Xenopus tropicalis: one gene and its partner. The protein of the gene in region 1 interacts with the protein of each later gene in a pairwise test. Links are inferred from orthologs where the notes say so. Each region holds a gene or a part of one and is shown on either strand. Other genes may lie near its edges. The genes, in order: dnajb11 and ubr1.

Evidence for each region.
Region 2: the proteins of dnajb11 (region 1) and ubr1 interact in a two-hybrid assay, tested with the Homo sapiens proteins (2 studies listed by BioGRID and IntAct). The link is inferred for Xenopus tropicalis from reciprocal best matches to the Homo sapiens genes DNAJB11 and UBR1.

Annotation. Positions count from the first base shown.
Region 1 is NC_030685.2:43,677,307-43,681,131, forward strand, and holds part of dnajb11 (dnaJ homolog subfamily B member 11), read right to left. Parts: intron 3,098-3,825; coding exon 2,941-3,097; intron 982-2,940; coding exon 884-981; intron 1-883. UniProt on the Homo sapiens protein: As a co-chaperone for HSPA5 it is required for proper folding, trafficking or degradation of proteins.
Region 2 is NC_030684.2:105,745,241-105,749,807, reverse strand, and holds the start of ubr1 (E3 ubiquitin-protein ligase UBR1), read right to left. Parts: upstream 2,864-4,567; 5' UTR 2,757-2,863; intron 2,335-2,756; 5' UTR 1,959-2,334; coding exon 1,893-1,958; intron 1-1,892. UniProt on the Homo sapiens protein: E3 ubiquitin-protein ligase which is a component of the N-end rule pathway. Recognizes and binds proteins bearing specific N-terminal residues that are destabilizing according to the N-end rule, leading to their ubiquitination and subsequent degradation.

The DNA of each region.
Region 1 (3,825 bases):
TGTGACAATAGAGTAAAAGCTAATTTGCTGTGGCATGTCATGAGGCTACACCCCTCAATAGCAAACATGTGCAGAGGGAAAGTAAAGGAATGTAGCCAGGCTGGGTGCTGATGAAGCTGCATTTATACATATAACAGTAAAGCAGCTTATTGTTTATATCCTATTCATTTATCAATAAACTGGCAGCAGCTTTAGATTCTTTAAATTTAAGTGGAAACTTTTGACTATATGAACCACAGGGGATCATCCCTAGGACAGTGCTTTTGTGTGCTGGTCCGGTTTGTGCATATATCAATATTATATCCAGAAAGGAGAATAGGATGTCATTTATTGCTTAGGACGGTGCTGTTCAACTGGCGGCCAGCGGGACACAAACGATTAAAGTCTTGTTGCTGTGACTGCTTACCTCTAAGATATTAGTATTGGCTCAGGTCCTGCATTATTTACACCTGTATGATTCTGAATTGTTCATACATATAAGACCCTGTATTGCTCATACCTATACAGCCCTGAATTGTTCACATCTGTAAGAAACAAACACTGGCACAACAAGGCATTTACAAATGACATAAACCCTGTATGTTTAATATATGCAAACCATGTAATGTTTTGGGGGAAGCCTATTCTTCAAACATGTGCCAGTGTTTGTGTTTGTTCCAGTACGGATTGGAGGGTGTCAATCCCCCAACAAATAAATCTTTGGAAGCCTAATTTAGCAAATCCTGTGAGTGCCATTCTTCTGCATTGTTTATAATATATATATATATAACAATTTTTAATGCATTTGACAGAATATTTTTGATATTTTCCCTGATATTAGTTTCAATCTGTCAATTCCCAGTCAGAATATCTTTATTTAGATCCAATGCTGATTTTTACTTACTGAGAAAATATATCACCATGGGAGCTTTGATGTCCATCTTTTAACCCCTCTTCGCCATATGTATCATATTGCTTTCTTTTTTCTTCATCTGAAAGCACCTATTTTAAAGTTACAAAATCATAAAATTAGAATATGTGAGTTTCATACCTGTCAATAGCATTATTAAAATACTATAACAAAACACAAAACAGTGATCTAAGGGGAGTTCAGATCTGCTACTTCATCTTCAGTTTTAAACATAGCGTTATTAACATATTCCACAGCTCTCTACAATAAAAGGATGCATACACTTTACAATTATTTTAATAATTTTAAAGAGGATCTAGTCAAAAAATAATGGAAATCTGTAAAATTATTAACATTGTTGAAAAAAAATAGCATGTTATTGATAAAGTTTTTGTATTTTCTTTTATGCCTAATGATCAACATTATTTTAACTTCCCTAGTCCATGGTCCTGGCCGAACCCAAAATTTTTTTCGTTGCACGGATGGTTCTTTTTAACATTTTAGTAGTTTTATTTGCATATGCAAATTAGGATTTGAATCGGTTCAAGGATTTCGGTTCTGCCGAATCCCGAAATAGTGGATTCGGTGCATCCCTATACAGTGCAAATTTTTAATATGCAGGATGCTTTACCCAGAAGGACATTATCCAATGAGCATTTAATTAAGGGAAGGACATATCCAATAAAGTCCATTTAAGCCAATAATTCTAATTTCCTTTTTCCTTGTAATAATAAAAAAACTCCTTGTACCTGAGGGTAACTAAGATGCACAAATCCACATTGGTTGCAAAACCATCCTACTGGGTATATTTATTGATTAAATGCTTTTTTTTTTTTTTGCCAGAATCAAAGGAATACGGTCGTGGGAAAACATGTTTTGTTTTTTTTAACCACATCAGCTAATAGTGCTTCTCCAGCAGAATCCTGCATTTAATTTTTTTTTTTTTTGTTTTTTTATCTAAATGTTTTGACTCTTGTAAAAGCATACAGAAAACTTATTAAGTCAATAAGCTATAAAGTATTTTTTTTTTTTTCAAACAAAACACAAGTTAACTTCACATAATAATAGTTAATAATAGTACCCTAGTGAGGTGACTGAAATCTGTTTTTTTAAAAGCACAAACTTTTTTTTTTTTTATAATTAATTCTGAAATTTTCACATGGGGATAGCTATGACTTTATTACCAAGGGTGCCACAGCCATATGATTTGTTCTCTGATAAACTTCAGTCACACTTTACTGCTGCGCTGCAAGTTGGAGTGAAAGCTACAGTTACCTTTGAATAGCACTTAATAGTAACTTGAGACTCCAGTTAGTGCTAGAAAGCAAAAATAATTTATTAGAATTATACATAAAATAATATACCCCGTTGTATATTATAGGTTAGAATGCACAAGAAGCATGAATATCACGTAAGGTACTTACATCAGGTGCTTAGTATAGTTATCTGTTATAATTAGTGCTTAATGATGTAATTTCTGCCACTGCTCAATAAAACTTGTGTTTCATAATAAACAATGTACCCTTGTAAAATATGCAGATAAAAAATGTCACCTCAGAGCTTAATTACTAATATAAAACACTTTTTATGATCATGGAACTCCTCAGTGACATTATGACATTCTTTTAATGTATTATATATTATAAATCACGGGAAAGTTCCATTACCATATAAAAGCAAAAGAGAGTGCAGGCAGTGTGCTTTGATACAGGTCATTAAAATCCTAAGTTACTTAAAACATCCCTATATTTTACAACAGGGGGTGCATTATTTTTATAATACACCAGTTTAAGTGAGTCATGGAATTCCTTGGTGAATTGTAATATCCTTAAATTTTACTGCAGGGGGTACATTATGCACTATATCTATTATGACTATAACCAACTTAATGAGAATAATGAAGGATAAGGAAATGTATCCTATTTAATGTATTTTCAGACTGACATACAGTGACAGTACTAAATGTATCTTTAGTGAATATAAGTATTGTTCTCTTTTCTTTCTATGAAACAGTAGTAATTTTGAGGGGGGGGGCGTCACTTTTTACAAACCTCATAGGCAGCCCCCAAGTCTTGAAATTTTTCTTGTGCATTAGGATCATCAGGGTTTCTGTCTGGATGAAGCTGCAAGGCAAGCTTTCGATAAGCCTTCTTTATCTCCTTTACAGTAGCTCCTTTTGACACACCCAAGATTTTATAAAAATCACGCCTAGAAGAACAGGAGTTAGCCAATTAAACAGGAGAAAACAAGGAAAAAGTAAAAAATATGACATTTGCACAAAAAAATGAAATTTAAAGAGTTTGTACAGTACAGGAATTCACTTTATACACAAGTATTTCACTTGTTTTGTGGCATGTTTTAGGTTAGTCTAAGACTAATCCCACACGAGGCGTAGGGCGGATATTTTCGGCAAGCTTAAAAGCGCTTGCTGCAAATTCCGCCCTACGCCTCCTACATGTCCCTGCACCTTATTTATATAAGTTATAGTACTGTTACTTTAGCAAATGCACAACTTTACCTCTGCAGGGTAACAGTACATTATAGTTTAAATTTTTTAATAAACTTTCATTTTTGGCGTTAATGTTCCTTTAATATACTAGAGATATAGTAATTGTTTTGGGGAACTAATATATTGGTATAGAATTGTAATAGCTTTCGGGGGAGTAGTTCCATCTATACACCATTTCTCAAAGTAAGTCTGATTTGTAGATTGGGGTATATATTGCTTCCAGCATTTTGCTACAAAGTGGAGTATTTGGGATGCACGGAAGTGTTCCAAGTCTGGAAGATTGTATCATTCTCACAGATAATCAAGGGTAAATGGACCTCTCACTGTAAGTTTTTAACTCTAACAAGGTTCTGATCTATCCGCCACTGAAGTAAGCAAGTTTGGTGTCCCGGGGTGAATTGGGGACTTTTAAATAATGGTGCGGAGA
Region 2 (4,567 bases), on another chromosome or scaffold:
TAGGTAATTCTGTATGTTCAATGCATAAACCCATTTACTGTAAAGCACTGCAGAATTTGTTGGTTAATAATAAAGATAAAATCTGCTACATATAACTGAAGAAGATAATTTCCAGAGTAAATGAGCCCTAGAGCTTCCTTGTTCCAGTGGCAGCTAATGTCTTATGCTAATGGAAAGGCAAACATAGCGTTAGTTACAATGGGAGTGCTGGGTTTTCTGCAGTGAAAGACCCAGGTCCTGAACATTCTATATAAGAGGTACCGTACACTGAAGCAACAAGTGGCATCCAAAGTAAAAATAGAATTACCAAACCCAAGCCAGAGTTTGTAAAGTGCTTTTTCTACAAAGCATACTGAGCTACTGTTTATTACTGCTTTCCTACCTACAGTATTTGTATGTGATATTTAAATGGTGTGCCCTAACAGTTATCACATAGTCATACCCACTGAGCATACACCATTGCCGTCACACAGTGTTCCTAAACTAAATGAACATACAGACTAATCCCAAAAAGGAATTTATATAAAAAAAAGTATACCAGTGCACTTAGGTTGATGGCACACGTGAAAAATCTCCTCTACCACAAACAACTAATATCCTGAAAATGTTTTCCCACGGGCAATAATGTAAATCACTGGTGAGAAAACATACACATCGCTTTGGCTTTGAGCAGCTAGTTGGAAGAAACTTGGTATTGGTAACTTTCTGGTCACTCATTTCAGGCCAGGCAGGATGAGCTCCTTAATGCATTGGCTCCCATGAATCAAATGTAATTGTAACAATGGCTTTGGCCCTTAAAGGAACAGTAACAGAAAAAAATGAAAGTGTATAAAACTAACTAAAATATAATGTGCTGCTGCCCTGCACTGGTAAAAGTTGTGTGTTTACTTCAGAAAGTCTACTATCATTTATATAAATAAGCCGCTATGTAGCCATGGGGGCAGCCATTCAAAGGAGAAAAGGCACAGGCACATAGCAGATAACAGATAAAACACTATTGTATTCTACAGAGCTTATCCGTTATCTGCTATGTAACCTGTGCCTTTTCTCCTTTTTTCCAGCTTGAATGGCTGCCCCCGTGGCTACACAACATCTTATTATATAAATTATAGTAGGGTTACTGTAGCAAACACACCAGTTTTACCAGTGCAGGGCAACAGTGCATTATATTTTTATTACTTAAAAGCTCTTTAATTTTTTCGTGTTACTGTTCCTTTAAGTAGCATGGCACTGCTGACCACCTGGATACCAAATGGTGCCCATCCTCCCTGCTTCCTTCCTGTTTGCCAATACCCATGGATTACCCTTCATTCCTCCTTTTGCTGTCTGTTACCAAGAACAAGAAAAATAATTTGCAAGGGCTTGCCCTGCTATTGCTTAATCCAAGTGCCAGCGCTCTTTTCTTGTTCTTAAGTTAATTGGGAGGGTGCTGATCCCTCCAGCACCGTGCACCGAGCTCTCTACTACTGGGTATTTTTCTCTTATGTTGTCAGTTACCAAACAATGCCTAGCATCTATTCTCTGCCCATTTCAGATAAAATGTGGGCTTATTCAGTAAGCTGATTTGCAGTTGGCCGGCTGAAAAGTTTTGACTGGTTGCCACAACTTACTCACCAGCTCCAAACTTCTAAGATTTAGGCAGATAAACCTAAACTAAGCCTTCTTTTACCCTATTATGCATTAAGTAGGTAGTGCCCTAGATGCCTGTTGTGCCAGTTTCAATGGCACCACTTTCTGCACTGACCTCTTACTGCCCCTGCTGTACCATACCCTCTGTATCCAACAACCTGTGTTGTTGAACTCCCAGTGTCACCAGTTAAAGAGGGAGCTGCTGTCCTACAGCTGTCATACAGGCCCATATTGCTTAAATTAACCAGCAGATGTATTCTCACCATGGCAAGCATTTCTCCATCCCCTGGCTCCCTGCTTTGCTCCAATCCTCCACCTCCAGACTCCATCTTCACAGTTCCTGACACAGCTGCCCTGTCACATCACCCAGACAGCACAACAGCACCTGGGAGCCCAGTAAAGGCCCAACTGGGTTTCACATCAAGTTGCACTTGCAGGGGTATGGTAGAGACAATGGTGGTATAATAGAACGTTAGTCAGTGAGTGCAAAGAGTCCAGGCAGGCAGTATGTGTCACTAATTATATCAGGACCTGTGCTCTTCAGAATACAACAACATAAATACACAAGTGCTTCAGCACTTTCAGCTTTGTAAATCCCAGTGCGTCCCCAGCAGGCATATCCGTGACAATTCAAGGCTGAATAATCTTCAAGTCAAGCTGAAAATGAACTGCACTTTTATATTTTTTTAGTGTGATGTTAACTGCCTGAAAATATAAATTCAAAAAAAGCACATAAATGTTGGATCTGTAGAAACTTAAAACAACATAAAGTTAAAAGAATTAGGAACATAGATTTTTCAAAACTTTATTCCTCTTCATACTAAATGGTAACATGAAAAGGTCACAAAAATGCACAGGAGTGATCATTATGACATGATTTTTGTTGGCATTCCTGCAAATATACAGCTCAGGCAAACAAGCCTTAATTACTGATCTCATCCTGCATTTCTACTAAAACTGGAACGGATGCAGAGAAGCAGCTATTAGGGAGGCTGAACGACATCCCTGCAAGTCGGTGTTACAAAGACAATTGAGTCATATTGAGTCATCCTCATTACATTATGTTATATGCCCCTTTCGTTTACATGTGTAGGGCTCTCAAAAAAATGTCTAAAATTGCATTTTACCTCTTAAAACCGTCAGTGTAGCAGAGCTACAGAAAGATCCACTCTGCTCAGTGCCAGGGCTGAAATGACTGCTGGGCGTATGCTTTCATTCTTCCACAGGAAGTGGTCATGTCAGTGAGTGACAAGCAACACTATTCAATGGAAGCACAAACCCCGCCCCCGTCTCTGCTCCCAAAGGGTTTTGCTGCTAATGGTGATTAGTGCAGCGCAGCTCTCTCCGAACAGTGATTTTCTGTTGTTCTTTTTATTATATTTTAACTCTCATTCACAACACTTGTATGTGCATAACAGCCTCCAAAAGCAGACCCTTTTATTTGTACGCTGCGGCCCTCCTGCTGTCACACAAGCACTGATTCCCTTTAACCTTAGGGCAGTGGTACTTGGGGCGTATTGTCTACCATGTAGCTGTCAGCATAGACTGAGCTATTACAATTATATGGTCAGCACTTGTGGCTCTTAATAAGGTCCCTTATGACAGAAACAGTATTGTTCATCTTATGGCAATGTATTTTTGGGAGGTAGTTTTGGGATTACTGGAGTATGACTGGGGGTATAAATGCACCAGGAGCTGCTCTCCATGTGGTATGCTGGCAGGACTCATAGGCAGGGTATTCTGACTTGAGACAAGGTGTGCTCCATGCCTCAGGGGGTAGTGCCCAAGTAGCCTAAATAGCTACCAGTTTTTTAGCTTTCCTTGTGCAGAGATCACAATTTCTCCTCACCTCTGTGAGTGCTTTTTAAAATGCATTAGTGTTAAAGGAGACATTGGATAAATGGGAAACCCCTAACCCTGTAGGTAATTATGAATAATATCCGGTGCTGGTTTCCCTTTGGGCTAAACACTAACCCTATCTGTAACAATGGCCCCTTTATTGGAGCTCCCTATAGATCCTCTCAGGTCCCTGTCTGGGTTTCAAATGAGGGGTGGGCGTGTCCTAACGGTCCCTGCCAGAAGCACAGTAGGAGGGGGAGAGCCAATCACAGCCCTGCACTCACACAAGCACAGACAGGCTTCAGTTCCCTATCCTATCCTACAGTGCAGGGTACGGAGGGCCGCTGGCTCCCCAGCTCATCCAGAGAATTCAGCTAGCAGGAAGTGGAACAGATGGGCGGGGCTAGTGGGGTTTGGGGGGAATTTCTCAATAAATCAGTCAGAAACACAACTTTTTAAGCACAATCCTTCTATATCTAGAGGAGTATAATTCCCTGGTACATTCATAATTTTTATAGGATATGTCTCCTTTAAGGAAGAGGGCAGGTGGTGGTAGGTGGTCCAGTCTAAAGGTCCCCATACACGTTAAGATTCGCTCGCTTGGCGAGATCGCCCAGCGAGTGGCTCTTCACCCGATATCCCCACCTATGGGTGGGCGATATCGGGGAGCGTGTAGGTAAAAAAAAAATTTTGATTGATTGGCGGCAATGGGGCAGTTGGTTTGGGGACCGCATCAATGAGCTGTCTATTCCTGTAGCCATGACAAGTAGCTGCTACTAGTAGCTCCATATGTCTTCACCCTAAGCTACAATACTGCTATCTTCATTGCATATTGTCCCACTAGACAACTCTTAAGTCTGTCAAGCCAGTGGAGCTCAACACAAAAAAGACCAGCCCAGGCCACCCCATGATCACAGGGTCTGCCTCTATAGTATTTATGCCACTGATCAGTGAATACATCATAAGGCAGCTCACCAGCTGTTATTGAGAACAATCACTTTTTCCAGCCTAGGGGCTAAGCTGTTCTTGTTCTGTATGAGCTGCAGAGCCGCCACCCAGGGCCTTATTTTCTATCCAGGAACCCATTCGCAGCTTCATG